Arabidopsis thaliana: one gene and its partners. The protein of the gene in region 2 interacts with the protein of the main gene of each other region in a pairwise test. Each region holds a gene or a part of one and is shown on either strand. Other genes may lie near its edges.

Region 1 (4,972 bases), on a different chromosome or scaffold from region 2:
TTTACTTGCGGCTACAAATACATGAGCTAAGATATCAGAAATTGAGGCTTAAGTTGCAAAATGTTATCTTCACTTGTTGTTATAAACTTAACAAGAAATATCAGAAACAAACAAAATGGCTTCTTTCACTCACACTCCCAAATCGAATTCACCATTGACAACTATGTTTCACAATTCCCAAATTCTTCTAAAAAAGCTTCGAATATATGTGTTTGCAAAGTAAGCTAGAGCCTAACACACGAGAATAGTGATAAATCAACCAAACCCAAAGAACCAGAAAAAAAAATCAAAATTGGGTAAAAGAACTTGATACATTACATCACCAGAAGCTAAACACAAACAATAATTCGAACCAATTTAAGATGTACCAGAAAATGGAGACGCTAGGGAAACAGGCGACGAGAGAAACGAGCAATGAAGCAATTGCGAAGAAGCGGAAGAAGTGAGAGAGGACGAACTCCGTCTACAACCCGTACGCAGAGAAAGCGAAGCAGAAGGAACGCAAATCTTGCCGTTGGAGGCAGCAGGATTCCATAAACGCGACGAAGCCGAAGCTACAACGGAAGTGGATAAGGAAGCCATTCAAGTTCCCACTTCTTATCTCCAAACCCAGTTCCTTTGTTTCTCCGGTCTCCTTTACATAGTGTGGAACCTCTATCGTCTACGGACGATACCACCATAAACTTACGCATAAGAACCAACCATAATAATACACGTATCACGACACTTCAGCCCATAAGACTATAAAAGCCCAATACTGAATTGGACCGGACGGGTAATTAATCAAGTTAAGGCCAGATTTGAACTGGTCTAAAATATCTCATGCTGTTGTTCTGTGATACAATTTTGCTTCATGTAAACTGTTAAAAACAGGCACTCTATATAACAGGTAACGAGAAGAACCACAAAATGTTTGTAATCTAGAGGATATTTTCTACAACTTATCCAACATTCATCAAGGGTTTTTTTTTGGGGGGTAACACAAGTATGCCATGAGTCTCTCTATCTATCTTTTGAACATCTTGGACCACATGTAGAGGATAAAGAAGAGGAGGAGCGCGAAAAGAACTACGTGCATTATGTGGTTGTTACCACTACGGATTATGCTTAGGTTCAGTTTCCTTATGTTGTTCTTCACCCCTGCTTGCGCTCTGATCAATGTCATTTGCTGTCACAAACAAAAACAAAATACCATTGAAGCGTTTTATGTTTCAGACAAGAACAACATTTCGTCTACTTATTTTATTTTGCTTATAACAGCACTAAATGCTTGTTTCTGCAGTCTCACTACCAAATCTAGTTGTTTGTCATTATCTTCTCTAGGATGTTCTTCTAGGTAACAAAAGAAAAAACTAGAACGAACTAAAAGCAATGAACACATTCAACACCAACATTCTCATTGACAAAGTGGCAGGAACTCAATGATAAGCTGTAACCATTTCCTGCTGCATTTCACCAAACTAGGTGAGATTGAAGATATCTAATCCTACCCACCACCAGCGTTCAGACCAGATCCTAAGTAAACATAATCTACACTTTGGATTTATCAAGATTCATTGGTTTTGTAAGCTACGGTTAAAGTTATCTAACATATGTTAGGATGAAACTATATTTTCCCAACTAATAATGAACAGAGACATCTGAAACAAGTTATAGGAAACCGATATTCGGATATACTATATATAATCAGTGATTCATCTTAAAGGTAAAGAAGAGTAAATGAATGCATGTTACTGATGTTAAGTGCTTACATTGCAATTTACTATGATGGATAAAGAAAAAACTAAAGGGACATCAACAACATACCAGTTCATCTAAGAAGTCCCTCTGAGACTTTGCTTCTGACCCAATTTCTTGAGCAATCTGCATCAAAATAAGCGATCAACGATATAACAAAAAATCATGAGGGATAAATAATGCGCAAAAGTGCAAGGTAAAACACAAGGAATTGTAGAGAATGTCGACTGATTCCTTCAAGAAGGGTGGTGATATAAAACAATAACCACAGATGTATACAAAAGACATCAGACAAGTGGATTCAACTAATTAATCGTGGACTGACTGATAAGTATTGTGAACAATAACATTATCATAGTACCCTGAACAAAAAAACACCTACACAACTAATTAACCAAGCTCTAACCACTGTCAAAACCGAAAAGAAGACAAATTTCCAAATTCATATGATCAACTTAAAGCTTAAAGAGAACAATGATCCTTCAGAACCACAAGAAGACAATACAAATGGCACTATAGATAAAAAGTAGAAAGATCGAAATGGGATTTAGAGGGTTTCTTACATTTTTCAATTGCCTGACTTGGCCATGGAGACCTAGAATCTCATCATCCAGGTCAGAGTGCATAGGATCAATCCTCAGCTGAATTTCCTCTGAACCTGAAGCATTTCTAGTGCTTAGCCCTTCTCTACAAATCACACACCAAAGATAAATACTTGTACTTTACGCAGAATTCACCAAATCTAGGACCCGTTTTCTCTATCCAGAATCGATTTCAGAAAAGGAGAAACTGATAATATTAGAAATATACCTAGATCTATACGGATCAGCTCCGCCGTATAGAGAACCACCCGCACCGCGATTGGACGCCATCGACGCGAAATCTAATGGGTGTAAGAAACCCTAAATTCGAATCTGCTGGGGTTTGAGAAATTAAGTTTTGTATTCTCTCAGAAAATTCGAGATCGAGAAATTGCAACCAAAAGAAGAGAACAAATTTCAGGCAAATCAAAGAGAAAAACGACGACGATTGAAACAAGCTGGGCGGGTGCTCTTCGATTCAATGATAAATGACCGCGAGGGAACACGTGGCGTTTTAATATTGGTTGATTATCGTCATGTTTTTGAGTTATGTAAACAAATAAAGAATGGCAGTTTTGAAATATTCGTCAGCCAATATTTTTTGGTTTATGGGCTTTTTTAACGGGCCGATCCCAACTTTAGTGGACCACAAATTCATTCGTTCATAATGATGTCATTGAAAAAGAGAGGTATTTACTCTGTTCGTTCTACATTCGTTGTATTGTAAGCATCAACGATACCCAATTACACAAGAAAAATGTTGTTTTTTCATGATGGTGTTGTTATTTTCTAATTGTTGTTAACGAAGAGTAAAGATAATAGAATCGTGTTTGCATTGTAGTCGTTAGTTTATCCATCGGTATTTATTTTTAATTTTTTAGTCTTTTTTTAATATATTAATTTTTAGTGATTGTTAACCAACTGTTTTATAAACGTTAACGATATGTAGGCTAAATTTTCTGAATTAGCAACAATGTAACAAGCATGATTTTATCGCTGAAAGGTATTGTTGAACCAACAAACTACAAAACAAACATAATTTCATCATTTGTCACTGTTGTGTATCACTGATGAAAGCCAAACAAACATATCCTAGTTTTGGTTACAATATCTCAGTGTTGATATGATAGATGATGGTAAGCGGTAACTCAATTTTCACATAAAGTAGTGGTCTTGACTTGTTGTTTCTAGTTGGTTGGGGCTAGGTGTCATTGCAATCGTTTTGACATTTTAGTAGGATCAAAGAGGTCCAGTCCAACGAATTTGAGGTCTAGTACAGAAAATGAAAATTTTGAGCTTTAATTAACATTTTTATTGAAAATAAATATTAATTGGAAAATTTCTATTTTTTTCAAAAACTTGGACTTTTATTCTGTTTTATTGAAATATTGTCTGAATTTTTAAAAAGAAATGAGCGTTTGTCTTTTGTACTTATCTAACAAATGGTTTATGTCTTGTGTCATTCATACTTTTGTCCTCTCTATTTTGATCTGGTATGACGTTAAAGTGTTATCCATTATTCATACGGTCCATGTTGCATTGGACTATATATCTACTAGTCAAATTCAAACATTTGACCTTCCACCAGATCCTATCGTAATTTTTACGTGAGTTGTAGTCCTTTTTTGTTTCCTGAAAGCAGAATTATTGTACCCATCTTTTTAACAATGGTAAGAAGATTTACGAAAAATGGTTCAATGAAACGTTCAAAAACTGTGAACAGAAATTGATTTGCTAATGTAGTTCGGAAAAGGAGAAAATGGAAAGTTGGAGAATTTATATATTAAAAAAAAAAAAAAAAGTTGGAGAATGTTATTAAATCATCGCAAAAACTTGTTAAATCACTGATACAAATATTGGAGAATTTTACATTTTCCTTTCTGCATTATAAGCTTATGGTTATGGCTATCTTTGTGAGTAAATAAACATCTTTTTAATTATTATTTTTTTCATTTATATATTCGAAATTAACTAGATGAGGGATTTAGTAAACAGAAAGAAGAGTTGACATCATGTAAAATCGACCGACAGGTTCATAATGATGTCATTGAAAAAGAGAGGTATTGTCATATATGGTGTCACCGCTAGGTAACAGAGACGTACATTAGCTTATGTTGATGTATTGTCAGTTGGTTAATAAAGCCCACCACTACTTCACAACTTGGTTGACTTTTCGTTTTAGTATTCGATTTGTCATCATTAATTATCTCCCAAGAATTTAGTCCACCGAGTCGTATGCTATATAGAATCCAAAAGATATCAAAAATTTACAAACAAACATTATAATAATACTTTGTACAATTCCTTTAGTTTAGTTCAAGTGCAAAATAGAAACTTATTCATGAACTGTATAGATTTCATATTTCGTACTTTGTCTCAACTAACAAAATGTATGTACTTTTGGAATTAAAAACATATTTAAGATTAACTAAATTTCATCACGAGTGTATTTTGTATATGATCGTACTACGTTAACCAAAAAGTTTCACTATCCCCAATACCCGAGTTTCTTAAAATATCGTATACTCTATATATAGTTTTATTTTCAATATATATTATCCTTGAATTATCATTAAATTCATGGATTTAACTACCCAAATATTATTTATAAAGATTTCATATCTTTTGGATTCCTAACAATTTATTGTATTTAA
Region 2 (8,366 bases):
TATCAGATTTGCTATTGAGTTGTGTTTTGATGTTTTGGTTGTTATTTTTGGTTGCAGATACACAGAACTACAACGAGCTATGTAAGCTAGCAAATGGGGAGTTCAAGCACTTGTTCATCTAATGTTGTGATGATGATTATGATCATGGAAGCGATTCCATTAAAACATTTTGTAGAGATGCTTATGCTTTATATGTATTTGATGTCTCACCACTTTCTGGTTCTATGATTTTATTTACTTAGTATATGTAACAACTTCTTAATCTATCACAACTAAGCTTAAATTGCTGTTTTGTTAATTGAGGTACCAAAACACAAAACAAAACACTATTTTCTTCTTGGCAGCTAAGATTTTGCTCTGGATTTAGAATTGTATTGTTGCTTTATCTATAGGATTTTGTGAAAGCAAACTTTTTTCTTATAAATTTCTTGCCAGTGTAATAAAGAATTTAACATGAATTAGCTCAAAGACATATTTTAATAACCTTGGTTGAGAAAAAAGGTTTCTACCACTAAGGTATTGGTGGTGTTGCTGGTTAGGCAATGTCTTACGGAAACTGACAAGTAATTTTGAGCCGAGAGGAGAGGGAATTAAATACAAGTCTCAGTCCTGCTTCAAGGCTTTTGTGATGATTGACTTAGCAGCCAAAATTCCGATGTAAGCCAACGTTGTGACTGTAATACCTGCAACGAGGACTGCATTGTCGTATGCTGAGTGCTGGACTGTGTACACATGCACCCTTAAAGTGTCCCAGTTGCTTTCGGTCCACACTGGATCAACCATCCCCATAGAATCTGATGAGTTCTGTGGTAGAATTGTCCAAGCTCCATCGTTATACTTCAATCGAGTTGAATAAGCTGGAACATACCTGCCAAAACCAGAACTTAATGTGTTATGCTCAGACAGCAAATTGGTTAGGTCACATACAACATATCAGGTCAGGGGAAGAAGAAAATGATGATAGCTTCAATTCAAAGGTCAACAAACTAAAGATAGACTTTCTCCCAAGTCTAAAAACACTCCACTTCTGAAGCCTATCCTAATTAATAATTCCTATAAAATGCCTACCAGACTTAAGATTTTGGTTCATTTTGAGACATAAGAGAGAACTTGAGCATGCAAACCAAATTGCAATTTCCAAGCACAGAGTTTACCTGGTTGTGGAGACAACACATGTTCCTTCCTTGTTGCTCTCTGCTTTGATGCACACTTCGTCAGTTTTGCTACAGACTCCTTTTGAACAAACTGAGGTTGTATTTCCCTTTTGGACAGATGTTTTATCTGCCAGAAAGTTCCATAGGAATCTAGAAACATCACCGACGTAACCAAGGTAAGGTTTGGAGGAAGGTTCTCCGAGGATGACGCCAGCATAGTTGCCTGGACAAGTGTTTGTCGGTGAAATATAGTCTTTTACCAAGTTGCAAGATAAGCCCGGTTCACAAGCTAAAAGACAGGTTAGAAGCTCTTCAACGAAAGAAGCATTGACATGGATGGATCCCAGAGCTGAATTGCTTGTATCTTTGTTGTCACTTGCTAGGATGTAAAGTGTTCGGGCCACAACAGAAGCAGCAGCTACTACAGACGAGGAGTTGATATTTGCTGCAATACAACACCAGAAAGGAATCAAAAGTGCAAAATGGGGTTTGGAGCGAAAAGAAGAGAAAGACAGGCTGTGACTCTTCTTACACAAGTCATCGAGGTGACTATGGTAGAACTTATTCACAAAGTTGGTATCAAAGTCTTCAAGTACAACAGCTGAAGTCTGAGGGTTCTGCAACAATGAATATGATGTTATACCTTTTTCACTCTAGGCAATCTGGTTCAGAATCACATAATAGTAAGCAAGTATACTTCTCCTGTCATATTCATGATCAACTGAAGGTGAAGTATATGCAAAGAGTATAGTGCGAATACACATTTGAATTGTCTTCCCATCTATTTACTTGGAATATATATTGTACCTTTCTCATGAAAGCCATCAAGGAGGATGGGGGTATTCCAGGGTTTGCAGTATCTGCTGAAAGAATTTTGATGTTTTTTGATGCAAGTGAATCCTGAGCTATCTTTAAAGCATCCAGTGTCATGTTTGTAACTGAAGAAACCTAAAGCAGAACACCAAAAGTGGAGGTTAAGTCGCCTATGACAGTTTTCACATTATCGAACGAATTCGAATTATGCAAGAGTTTCAGGATATCAGGAATTTCTCACCCTTGTTTTATGAGCAAAGAAGGTGTTTATCCCTCCACTTAAACCTTTTCCAACAGATCCTATTTCAAGCACCTGTTAGATAATAGAAGAAGCAATCTGAATTCGATCTTTAGATTTAGAAAATTGTGAACATTCAATTTCACAAGGAACACTTAAACTTGCTTTCTGCGCTACTAAGAAACAAATAAGTTGCAGCAACGATGAAACACAGGCAACTTTTTCCACAGGGATTTCATGCATAAGGCTAGCTGTCTCTATCAACTTTGTCAGACCAAAACAATAATGATTACCGTTTCAATCGAAGTATTGCTAAGGCCTGCGACAGCATCTGAATGCAGATCTAATTCGTGTAAGAACCTCCTGCTGCCAAGGTAACCCCATGTCTCTCCGGTCAGAACCAAAAACACAAGCTGCATTCATTTACGATTTACATGTATTAAAGCTTGCAAACAACAAAAAGCGTGAAATAACACTAAATCACATGGTACACTGGCACCTGTTTTTTGAGATTACTAATACCATCAACTCGAGAAAGAGCATCAACTGCTCCTAGAAGAGCTACCAGACCCTGAAAGAAGGAGAACGTGTTGAGCAATAAATCGGGAAAAGAAGAATAAGAAGAGTAAATAAATGTATTCTAGATCAACCCAAAAGCAGAAAATAGCAAGTTCTCACAGATATTGGTGAATCTGCACCAAAACTTTTGTCACGGAAAAATGATGCAGTATCCATGGAGGCCACAGTCAGCACAACTGGTTTGCGATTGTTGGAAGACGAAACACTGATTGGTGGAAGCGAGGACCAAACACTGTCCTTCATAACAAAGTTGTTAGAAAACGAAACGTATCCTTTAAAAGGTTTTCATATGTCATTAGATCAGACAGTAATAAAGACCTAAATCTTTACCTATATCCGCCCAATGGGAGGCAAGTTCCCTCCTGCAAACAAGCCTCCGAATTGTGTGTTCCAGCTTTGGTAGTCTAATACAAAAAATAGAGAATTGGGTGTCATAATCTAAGTCAAAGTGAAGATCCATAAAGCTGGTTAACGTTCCAGTGAGCAAGATTGCTAAAGCCATATACCTCCATAACCATATTGAATTCAGCAACATCACTGGTATATGTTCCATGCTTCATCTTTTTCTTGGAAAGGATCTGCGCAAATATAATAGGATGTAAATATGTAGTCGATAACCTGAAAAAAGTGAAGCTATCCACATAAACTATACACTTTAGATTGCTACCAACACAACAGAAACATAAAGCTAGCTTCTTGACAGAACCTCATCTGGTAAGGACAACAACATACTATAGAATGACATAGTTGACCAGCAGTTTAAAGGCAACTACCACAAGACAAATGGAAAGGCTATGGTTGAGTCCAATTACAGGCTATGGAAAGCAACATGCATTTGAAATCTACAGATGCAGCTGGGAGTTGCCTTCAGCTGGATGAGACAAACATTCCAGGACCAAATTTGTATTCTTATTTAAAATGGGTAATCAATGCTTAGAAAAATTTCTGCAGACTAATTCAGTTTAAACTAGGAGTATTCATTTCATATGACCTTGGAGATACATATCTCATGCATCATTTTACAGCCATATTTTCATCAAGCAATACTGCTCTTAAGAGTGACCAACAGTCATAATGCCTCTCTAAGCCTTGAGTTCATTTCCTCATATTTCTAAAAATGTCATCAATTTCGCTTTTCTGACAACACAAATAGACACATTTAAAATTTGCAAAAGAATGCAAGTTTGAAGGATTACCTCATGCACAGCTGATATGCCACTTTCTGACAATAAGTACACAGGAAAATTATAATTTCTCCACATGATGCTTGATGCCTGCAAATAATCATTTTTTAGCAATGGTCAATGGCTAGAGACTTATCGCCTGCAACTACTCATAAGAATCAAAATCATTTTTTCTCCGTAGATAACAATAAGAGGAACTATCTTTTAATTAAGGTAGATAAATATGCAACAGATTTTTGAACTTCTTTATAAGTGATCATCTAGGCAGATACATGCATTCCTCCAGTAAAATTATACCATAAGAAAAGGATTTATGGTATTTGTGTGTTAGCAGGTAGTTAAGTTTAGTTCCAGAAGAAAACAGCATATAACTCGGAAATGCTTGACTATGGATTTGGTGATAACTGATTGAAACAATTTCCAACCCACTATAAAAGAGTTGACAGGAAGAAGTAATTTCAAAGATCCAGACAGAGTTTACGCTACCGTACAGCTGAATTCCATTTGTACTCAACGTTTTCATAGGGTGAAAACTGGGCTTGAGGAAACCTTTTATCAGGAGAAAACCCTACAATAAAGAAGAAAGAAACACTAACGCCATCAACATAGATAAGAAGTATCAAGTACTATTTTTAAGGGAATTAAGAACTCAAGACAATTTAAGGAATTAGCCATTCAAGTTGACAGAATCATAAATATGTGGATGGACATAGTACCTTTTAACTTTTGTTGGAAATTAGATCCTGATTCAACTAGAACACCACCAATTTTGCTAGCAAAGCTCAAATCAGTTGACACCCTGGAAAAGGCACAAAGAGGAGTGGTCCTGTTATTTCTACTGAATAGAGTGTCTAAGCGATGTACAAGTCTAATGAACAATGCCAGAAGTAAGCCAGACTGCAGGGTTCTACAGTAAAGTGTTTGGAGGTATACCTACTTTCCGTTAGTCGAATGAAAATAAAGCGGAAAAAGCCAATGAATTACTGGTTCCACTAAACACCTAATCCATGCACCAACAACCAAGTGACTACATTTCTAGCAGATTTCAAAAATGGTGATAAGAGGGTATACTCATTCCAATCTGTTGTTTCACTGTCATGGAAGATTACTAAAAGTGTTTGCCTTAAATACTCAAGTACTAATGAAAACAAACTCTTAGATATACGTTATTCTTAAGGATGTAATTGCCTTTCCAAAAAGGCTGATTTGGCACCCAAAAGCTAAATCTTGTTTGACGTTAAATAAAACACCAAAATGAGAACTACAAGCGAGTGGGAAAGCACTACTCCACAAATTAAGAGATCACTAACAAAATCGAATAGAGGTCATGAAAGTTTTGTAAATGAAAAAGGAGACATGCCTGGTAAAGAAATCTTCCATTTCATCAGCTGTAACCAAAATAGTGTGTGGCTGAACCAAATCTTTAACGTCCTTTAATTTTATGATTGGAGCCACCACTTTATTTATTCCAGGATCTGAGTATTTTTATAAACATAAAACTTAGAGGACCTCATCAACAGATAAAAATCATGTAGCTGAGAGGCCCAAAAGAAGCTTACTTGAACATCCAATCTCTCCAGACAGATTGAGAAGACGTACACAAGGAAACCCATCAACAGCAACATACATTAGCTTCTGAAGGTCAGGTACAGATTCAATAGATGTTATCTCATCTACACAAAACGAAACCTCAATTTCAGATTACAATGTTCTATCAACTAATACATTTCATCACCAATTTTATCCGGGGAAAGGAAACTCACCAGCGAGAGAGAGATGAAGAGGAAGGATTGAAAGTAGAACAAGTGTAAAAGCTATAGAAAGAAGACGAATAAGTCCCATTGCCATAGCATCCGTCAGAGAGTTGCGATTATTAGCGGAAGCTACTTGCAAATCATCGCTGCAGATACGATCAAGAATAATGTGACCGATTTTATAAAAGATCAAAAAATGTTAGAATCGGAAGAAGCAGTACCTGGGAAACGAAAAAAGGGGAAATTGGAAGAGAGAGCGAGAGAGAGGTCCGATTCGCCGGAGAAATGGAAACCTAGCTCGGAATTACGCGGTGGGAGTCTGAGTCAAAGACTGAGATTTTTCGTGTTGATTCTTATGTCTTTCAAAATTCCCAAGATATAGAAAAATTGAGGTATTCACATTTTGTGCGGATTTTATTATATTAAAAGTAATTAAGTGAACCTATCTATATATATATTTTTGCAGCCATTTTGTAAAATAAATCCTAGATTTGGAACTTATTTACAATGGCTGCCACTGGCTTTTATTTATTTATTTTCTTTTAGCAATAAATTGATTAACAAACAAAAAATATTCCAAATATATTCCAATCCCATATATCACGCAGATTTCTCCAAAATTTGAACTAGATTTCGGAAATTATTTAAAACAAAAAATATTTGACAAACCAAAATACAATTGCAATCCCTTAAAATGAGCAAAACGCACATAAATACATTTCTTATCAGTTCACTAAATCTTATTTCTCCAAAATTTGAATTAGATTTCGACAACTATTTAAAACAAAAATTTGTTTGACAAACTAAAATATAATTGCAATCCCGTAATTTTTTTTTTTAAATTAGCGGTGTACTACAAATTTTTTTAACGGGACGGGTTTGGCAGAACGGGTTTGGAAGGATGTTACTTAATAACAATTGTAAACTATAAAATATAAATATTTTATAGATAAATATAATTTACAGACTTTTATATATACTAATTTTAAAAAATAATTGTCTCCGCGGTGTACCGCGGGTTATAATCTAGTTGTTTATACAAAAAGAAAAAATATTTTCATTCCACATTTTCTTTTTTTTTTTGTAAGAAATTTGTATTACATTTTATGGCTTCATTTTTACAAAATCGTAGACTAATTATGATTGATTAGGGTATTATTTGCTAGATTATATAGGCAAGTTTTGGCTAAAAATTGATAAAAAAAAAAACATATTGTATATGGTAAAACTATAATTTTAAAGAAATTATTCCATATGTGATTTTAACAAATAACGTAGATCATGTATAAACTGCATGTTAATTAAGAAAAAACTAGTGTTAATTTTGAAAACAATGTGTAAAAAAAATATAAGGCGCAAATTCTCATCCAACTTGAAAGTTTTTTTTGCATAAAAATCAAATTTGTCGTATATTAAGATCGGTAATAAGCCGTAATATAAGATTGGTCGCATCATAATAAAAAGTGACTACACCTCCTTGATAGTCTCGCTTAGGCATCTTTTAGGTCATATCAATACAACATACACATATACATATTTTTCAACACCTGAGGTGCGCGAAGATAGACACTTCTTCATCCTCTCCGTAATTCTCAAAATTAGGGTTTTCTTCCGGCAGCTCTCTCAGGTACTTTCTCGCTCTTTCTTCTTTCATCTCATTGCGCCTCTCTTCGTTTCCTTTCGTGAATCTTTTTTTTTGGTTGGGGATCCAAAATTGGGATTTGTGTAACTCTTCTTATCTTAATTAAAAACTGAATCTTTCTCTCATTTTTGTTCCAATGATTGCTAAGTTAGCTTAAACACGCCTTTGATTGACATTTCTCTGAGTTATAGCTTTGTATGTGTATTGGGTTGTTCTTGGTTGTATCTATCATTGTGGTCAATTTGTGTGAAATAATCAAATAGAATTGTAGTTATAAGCTGAGGATTCTCTTAACAGGTTAGATTGGCAGCATAAAAAATATCACTTGCAAATTCTGAACAATGTCTGTTGTGGGAGATTCTAACATGGAGCTGGAGTTTTCTAAGCAAAGATACTATTTTGACTTTAGCCCTTCTTATCTTTCTTGTTGCCATGAATATTTTAACCTTCTTTGCATCTAACCAAGGCCTATGATATCATGGTTTTTATCCGCTCTCAGGGGTCATTTCGTTTCTTATCTTTTTTTGTTTCACCTGTTGAGCATTTCATCGCCCTCTTCTCTCTTTGTCTATTTGTTTGTCACCTTTTTAGCCGCATTATGGCAAAGCGTCAATTCGAACTTCTTATTCTTCTTTTCTATTGGCCTCTTATTGTTTCTTTTCCAACCTTTCCTCGGTTTTATTCTCTCTCCCCACTTGCTTCTTGCTTCTGTGTCTCCTCCACAGTTGTACTGCAAGCATTCTTTTCTAGATATTTAAGATGTCAAGGACGAGGACTGCTGCTTCTGAGGCTCATGACTCCATGGAATCTGAGGAAAGGGTAGACCTTGATGGTGACAATGATCCTGAGGAGATTCTGGAGGAGGAAGTTGAATACGAAGAAGTTGAAGAGGAGGAGATTGAAGAGATAGAAGAGGAGATAGAGGAGGAGGTTGAAGTGGAAGAAGAGGAGGAGGAGGAGGATGCTGTTGCAACGGAAGAGGAAGAAGAAAAGAAAAGGCAT
Region 3 (4,402 bases), on a different chromosome or scaffold from region 2:
TTTTAATCTTGATCCACTACATCACCACTCTTAATTCCCACTAGTCTCAAAGATTATGTAGAAAGTTTAAAGATTTTCCCAAATAACAATAAACAACTCTGATATTTGTTTGATAAATGTAAACAACCCGAGTACTACATGACCAAAGGGCAAATGCAAATTACTTATTCTCTTAAAGTCAAGCTCAAGCTGAAGTCTTGCACTTTCTTGGCCCATCCATATTGCTACAACTCTTTTTTGGATGATAGTCATGTAGACTCTTTCACATTTCTTGGCCCATTAGATTCTTTCATGACTATCATCCATATTACAAGTTGCTGCATCAAACATGTGAAATATGTTATCATTCATGTGAAAGATGTTACTAAATCTGGTTCTTTTATTATTTTACTGGAACCCTACCATGTGGAACAGAACATGCATTTTCATGACTATCAACCAAAACCAAAACCAAAACCAAAACCCCGAACTGAACATCATCCAAGAATATCTATAACTGAAACTGTGATTCAAAAGTTGAAAATTCAGTTATAAGCATGTTATAAAAAGTGGAAAATGAAAGACTCTTATAGAAGAAAGAAGATGAAGAAATACTTGCGATGATGGTGTTAGACCAGTTCAGTTCGGCTTAGATGTTGTTCTATCAAATTCTACACATTTTACAATTATGTTGCTAATGTTTGGTATTGGAAACACTTATTGACAATGTTAGCAACTTAGCATACCTATGTCCAGTTCAGTTATGTCTCTGTGATATTCAAACAAGATTCTGAGCTTACACATGTACACAATGTATTCTTCCATTGACATAATTAATGTTACAAGATACAATGCCATTGATACATAATAGATTACACATTTACACTGTTACAAGATCAAAGCTCTAGTGGTACATATAGAGATCATCACACATGACATAGGAAACAAGAAGAAAGCATATAGAATTAAAGATTGATATATTCTTAGCTTGATGATGATCAGAGAATATGTAGGAAACTTTATGTCTTGGACTTGAAAGGAATAGCTCTGATGACTATCTGATGGTACAGAGCAGCAAGCGCAGCACCAATGAATGGACCGACCCAGAAGATCCACTGCAGACACATAAAACAAAAGAGACAACAGATAAGAGCAGAATTATCAAAAATTCTGAGTTGCTATTTAGATGCAATTCATAACTTATCATACTTAGCACAACCGTTGATGTAATTAAAGAGGAAAACTTACATGGTCATCCCAAGCATGATCCTTGTTGTAGATGATGGCAGCTCCGAGACTCCTGGCCGGGTTAATGCCAGTTCCAGTAATTGGGATGGTAGCCAAGTGCACCAAGAAGACAGCAAACCCAATTGGAAGCGGAGCCAAGATCTGCAAAATGTTCGATAACCAAAAAACACATGAGCTCTATGTGAAGAATATGAACTCAACACAACTCAAGGATACTAGAGAATTAGCAACATACAGGGACATGAGAGTCTCTGGCACTTCTCTTAGCATCAGTAGCTGAGAAAACAGTGTAAACCAGAACAAAAGTTCCAACAATCTCTGCACCAAGACCTGAACCCTTTGTGTAACCATGAGCCACCACATTAGCTCCACCGCCATTCGTCTGGTACAGCCCTGGTTGAAACCCTTTAACCACACCAGCACCACATATAGCTCCAAGGCACTGCATTACTATGTAGAACAGAGCTCTGGTTAAAGATAGCTTCCTCGCCAAGAACAAACCAAAAGTCACCGCCGGATTAATATGTCCTCCTGCTCATTACCAAACCAATTCGCCACACACAAGTCAAAATCAGATTATGATCTTCACACAGAAGAAACAAAGTGGGGCAAACTAACCAAAGTTTCAAACTTTAAGAAGAAAATTACTCAAAGTTTCAATCTTTAAATGTGAAATTACTTTTAAGTATCAAACTTTCTTCATTATATCCAAGTTTCTCACAACCAAGTAACCCTAATTCCAGATTCCTTCAACCTAAATTCGAAAACTTTAAACAAAATTCAGAGCAAGAACAGATCCTGAACCTGAGATTCCAGCAGTACAGTAAACAAGAGCAAAGATCATGCCACCAAAAGCCCAAGCGATGCCTTGGATTCCAACAGAGGCACACATATTGGGAGCTCTCTTAACACCCATGACTGTCAAAACGGTGACGTAGAGGAAAAGGAAAGTGGCTATGAACTCAGCTATCCCTGCTCTGTAGAAAGACCAAGATTTGAGCTCGCCGGGTTCGAAAAACGGCGCCGGTGGTGGTTCCTTATAGTCCTTGCTCTCCGTCTGAGCCGCCGTACCGATCGGCTGTCTCTCTGGGAACTTGTTGGCTCCAACATTGACGTCTTCTTCTTTGCCTTCCATGTTTCTCTCTCACTCTATCACCACCAACTTTAGTTTGTTGTCTCTGTAAATTTGATGACTGGTGTATGTGGAGGTTTTATAGTTTGGTTCATTTAGGCAAAAATAATTATTAATTAAATTTGCTACTAATTTCCAAAATCTTATATTTGTTATTCATGCAAATTTCTAAATTATCAGAAAATGTGTAAATAAATAAATATAGTTAATTACTAATTATAGAAAATAAATTAGTGAATTTAGACTAAATTAACTTAATCTGTCTAAAATTTTTGTGATAGATAATTTTAATTGCAATGGTTGATATAGAGTCGCACTCAAGTCTCTTTTGATTGATGATTTGCATTTTTTTTATTGTCAATCATAACTCGTGGTTTATAAACCTACATTTTCCATGTAAGACTTTTAATTCGTTTAATGTTTAATAACGGTTTTCTATCTAGTTAGTCTTTGAGCATAATACTTAAATTAAAAAATGTTGTTTTAAGATAAGAATTAGAGGTAGGTAGTTGAAATGGACTGGACAACTAGGCGCGAAAACGATGCATAGAAGAAGATGGACATAAGATTAAGCAACTACCATATAATTTGTTAAAACAGAATATATTACAGCTCAAATGATGTGGACAATTCTAACATAATGTTTCTATCAATTATGTGAATGATATTATAGAGGAAATTATTGGATGTCAAAAATATTATAGATGAAAGAAGACACTTCACATGGAAAATGTTCGCCTTATCGATCTCTACTGTTTATAGATCAATTCATGGTTTATTTAAGTTCCTTTGTGTCACTACTGTGTTTTTTTTTTATATTGGGCTTTGATCTAAAAACTTTTTTTGGGGTCAATTGATCCATAAACAAGCTTTTCCTTTTTCTTATGGAATATACTTTATACAAAAAAAAGTACATTAAAAAAAAGAGAAATCTTACTTTAGCATCTACATATGGGCAATAGAGATAGAGGGAGATACATTTGTCATTTACTGTGTATAGGTTCTTTGGTGGTTATAAATGATCTCAGATTTATGTGACACAATAAATATAGTTGTTCTGCTTCATTTTTTCTTTTGAAAAATATAGATTAAGATCCTTGATTCATCATGAGGTATTCCAATAAACTAATTATCTTGCTAACTTTATCAACAATAGCTCTCATTTTAGTTGGAGAGAGTCACAAAACAATACCTTCGAAAGAGGAGAAAGAAGAGATGAAGAAGCTACTTACCTATCTCAATAAACCTGCAGTCAAAAGTTTCCAAGTAAATTTAGCCTTTCTTTTCTTAAATTTTCATAAAACATTACAAAAATTGTTGACTATTGTAACAATATTACAACTATCATCAAGTTACATTTATTTTCAGACCACACCAATTTTTTCTTGCTTTTGATTTCGACAGACTGAACATGGTTATATATTTGACTGCATCGACATTCAAAAACAGCTAGCTTTTGATCATCCTTTGCTCAAGAACCATTCTATTAAGGTTTATCCTACAAACCACGAAAAAATATCTATAAATAAAATTCTTATTAATGTTTGGATGGATTGAAATATAAATGCAGTTGAAACCCACAACTATACCTAAATGGACCAAAGATAACAACGCTTCTCATAAAACTAGTTCTCTGCCATTTCGACAAGATGACATAAGTTGTCCAGTTGGGACAGTCATTGTCAAAAGAATTATACTTGAAGATCTTATACGAGCTCAACGTTTGCAATCCTTACGATTCAACTATCCAGGACAAGTGTCTGCAAAGGACAAGAAAATTGATTTAACTGGTCATCATGTAAGAATCATTTCTTATTACACGTAGTTGAATTGAGATCGCCTTGTAACTTGTCCACAATGCTTATAATATTTTTTGATTATCTATTCTTTTTCTCTTCGGATTTTAGTTTGCCACAATTAGTTACAAAGATGACCACTATGGAGCAAAAGGAAACATTAACGTATGGAATCCAAACGTCTCACCTGATCAATTTAGTCTTGCGGCTATGGCTGTATCAGGCAACAAAGGATTTCAAAGCATTT

What was found. The genes of interacting proteins can lie anywhere in the genome.
Region 1: the proteins of AT3G52640 (region 2) and AT1G29060 interact in a protein complementation assay, tested with the Arabidopsis thaliana proteins (one large-scale study listed by BioGRID).
Region 3: the proteins of AT3G52640 (region 2) and PIP1;5 interact in a protein complementation assay, tested with the Arabidopsis thaliana proteins (one large-scale study listed by BioGRID).

The regions. Positions count from the first base shown.
Region 1 is NC_003070.9:10,145,494-10,150,465, reverse strand, and holds AT1G29060 (Target SNARE coiled-coil domain protein), read right to left. Parts: upstream 2,862-4,972; 5' UTR 2,610-2,861; coding exon 2,548-2,609; intron 2,425-2,547; coding exon 2,301-2,424; intron 1,864-2,300; coding exon 1,807-1,863; intron 1,169-1,806; coding exon 1,007-1,168; 3' UTR 686-1,006; downstream 1-685. Other genes in the region: AT1G29070 (Ribosomal protein L34), read right to left, coding at 369-582. UniProt on the Arabidopsis thaliana protein: Required for vesicular transport from the ER to the Golgi complex. Functions as a SNARE associated with ER-derived vesicles.
Region 2 is NC_003074.8:19,514,475-19,522,840, forward strand, and holds AT3G52640 (Zn-dependent exopeptidases superfamily protein), read right to left. Parts: upstream 6,071-8,366; 5' UTR 5,944-6,070; intron 5,869-5,943; 5' UTR 5,817-5,868; coding exon 5,732-5,816; intron 5,642-5,731; coding exon 5,528-5,641; intron 5,444-5,527; coding exon 5,329-5,443; intron 4,768-5,328; coding exon 4,685-4,767; intron 4,537-4,684; coding exon 4,460-4,536; intron 4,059-4,459; coding exon 3,981-4,058; intron 3,363-3,980; coding exon 3,291-3,362; intron 3,189-3,290; coding exon 3,115-3,188; intron 3,017-3,114; coding exon 2,884-3,016; intron 2,777-2,883; coding exon 2,705-2,776; intron 2,619-2,704; coding exon 2,499-2,618; intron 2,281-2,498; coding exon 2,209-2,280; intron 2,103-2,208; coding exon 1,962-2,102; intron 1,772-1,961; coding exon 1,155-1,771; coding exon of another isoform or gene 1,151-1,154; exon of another isoform or gene 869-1,150; coding exon 604-868; 3' UTR 399-603; downstream 1-398. Other genes in the region: AT3G52630 (Nucleic acid-binding, OB-fold-like protein), read left to right, coding at 58-122; AT3G52660 (RNA-binding (RRM/RBD/RNP motifs) family protein), read left to right, coding at 8,124-8,366. UniProt on the Arabidopsis thaliana protein: Probable subunit of the gamma-secretase complex, an endoprotease complex that catalyzes the intramembrane cleavage of integral membrane proteins such as Notch.
Region 3 is NC_003075.7:12,218,752-12,223,153, reverse strand, and holds PIP1;5 (plasma membrane intrinsic protein 1;5), read right to left. Parts: upstream 2,514-4,402; 5' UTR 2,363-2,513; coding exon 2,032-2,362; intron 1,759-2,031; coding exon 1,463-1,758; intron 1,369-1,462; coding exon 1,228-1,368; intron 1,095-1,227; coding exon 999-1,094; 3' UTR 686-998; downstream 1-685. Other genes in the region: AT4G23390 (NEP-interacting protein, putative (DUF239)), read left to right, coding at 3,467-3,625, 3,764-3,850, 3,930-4,157, 4,267-4,402. UniProt on the Arabidopsis thaliana protein: Aquaporins facilitate the transport of water and small neutral solutes across cell membranes.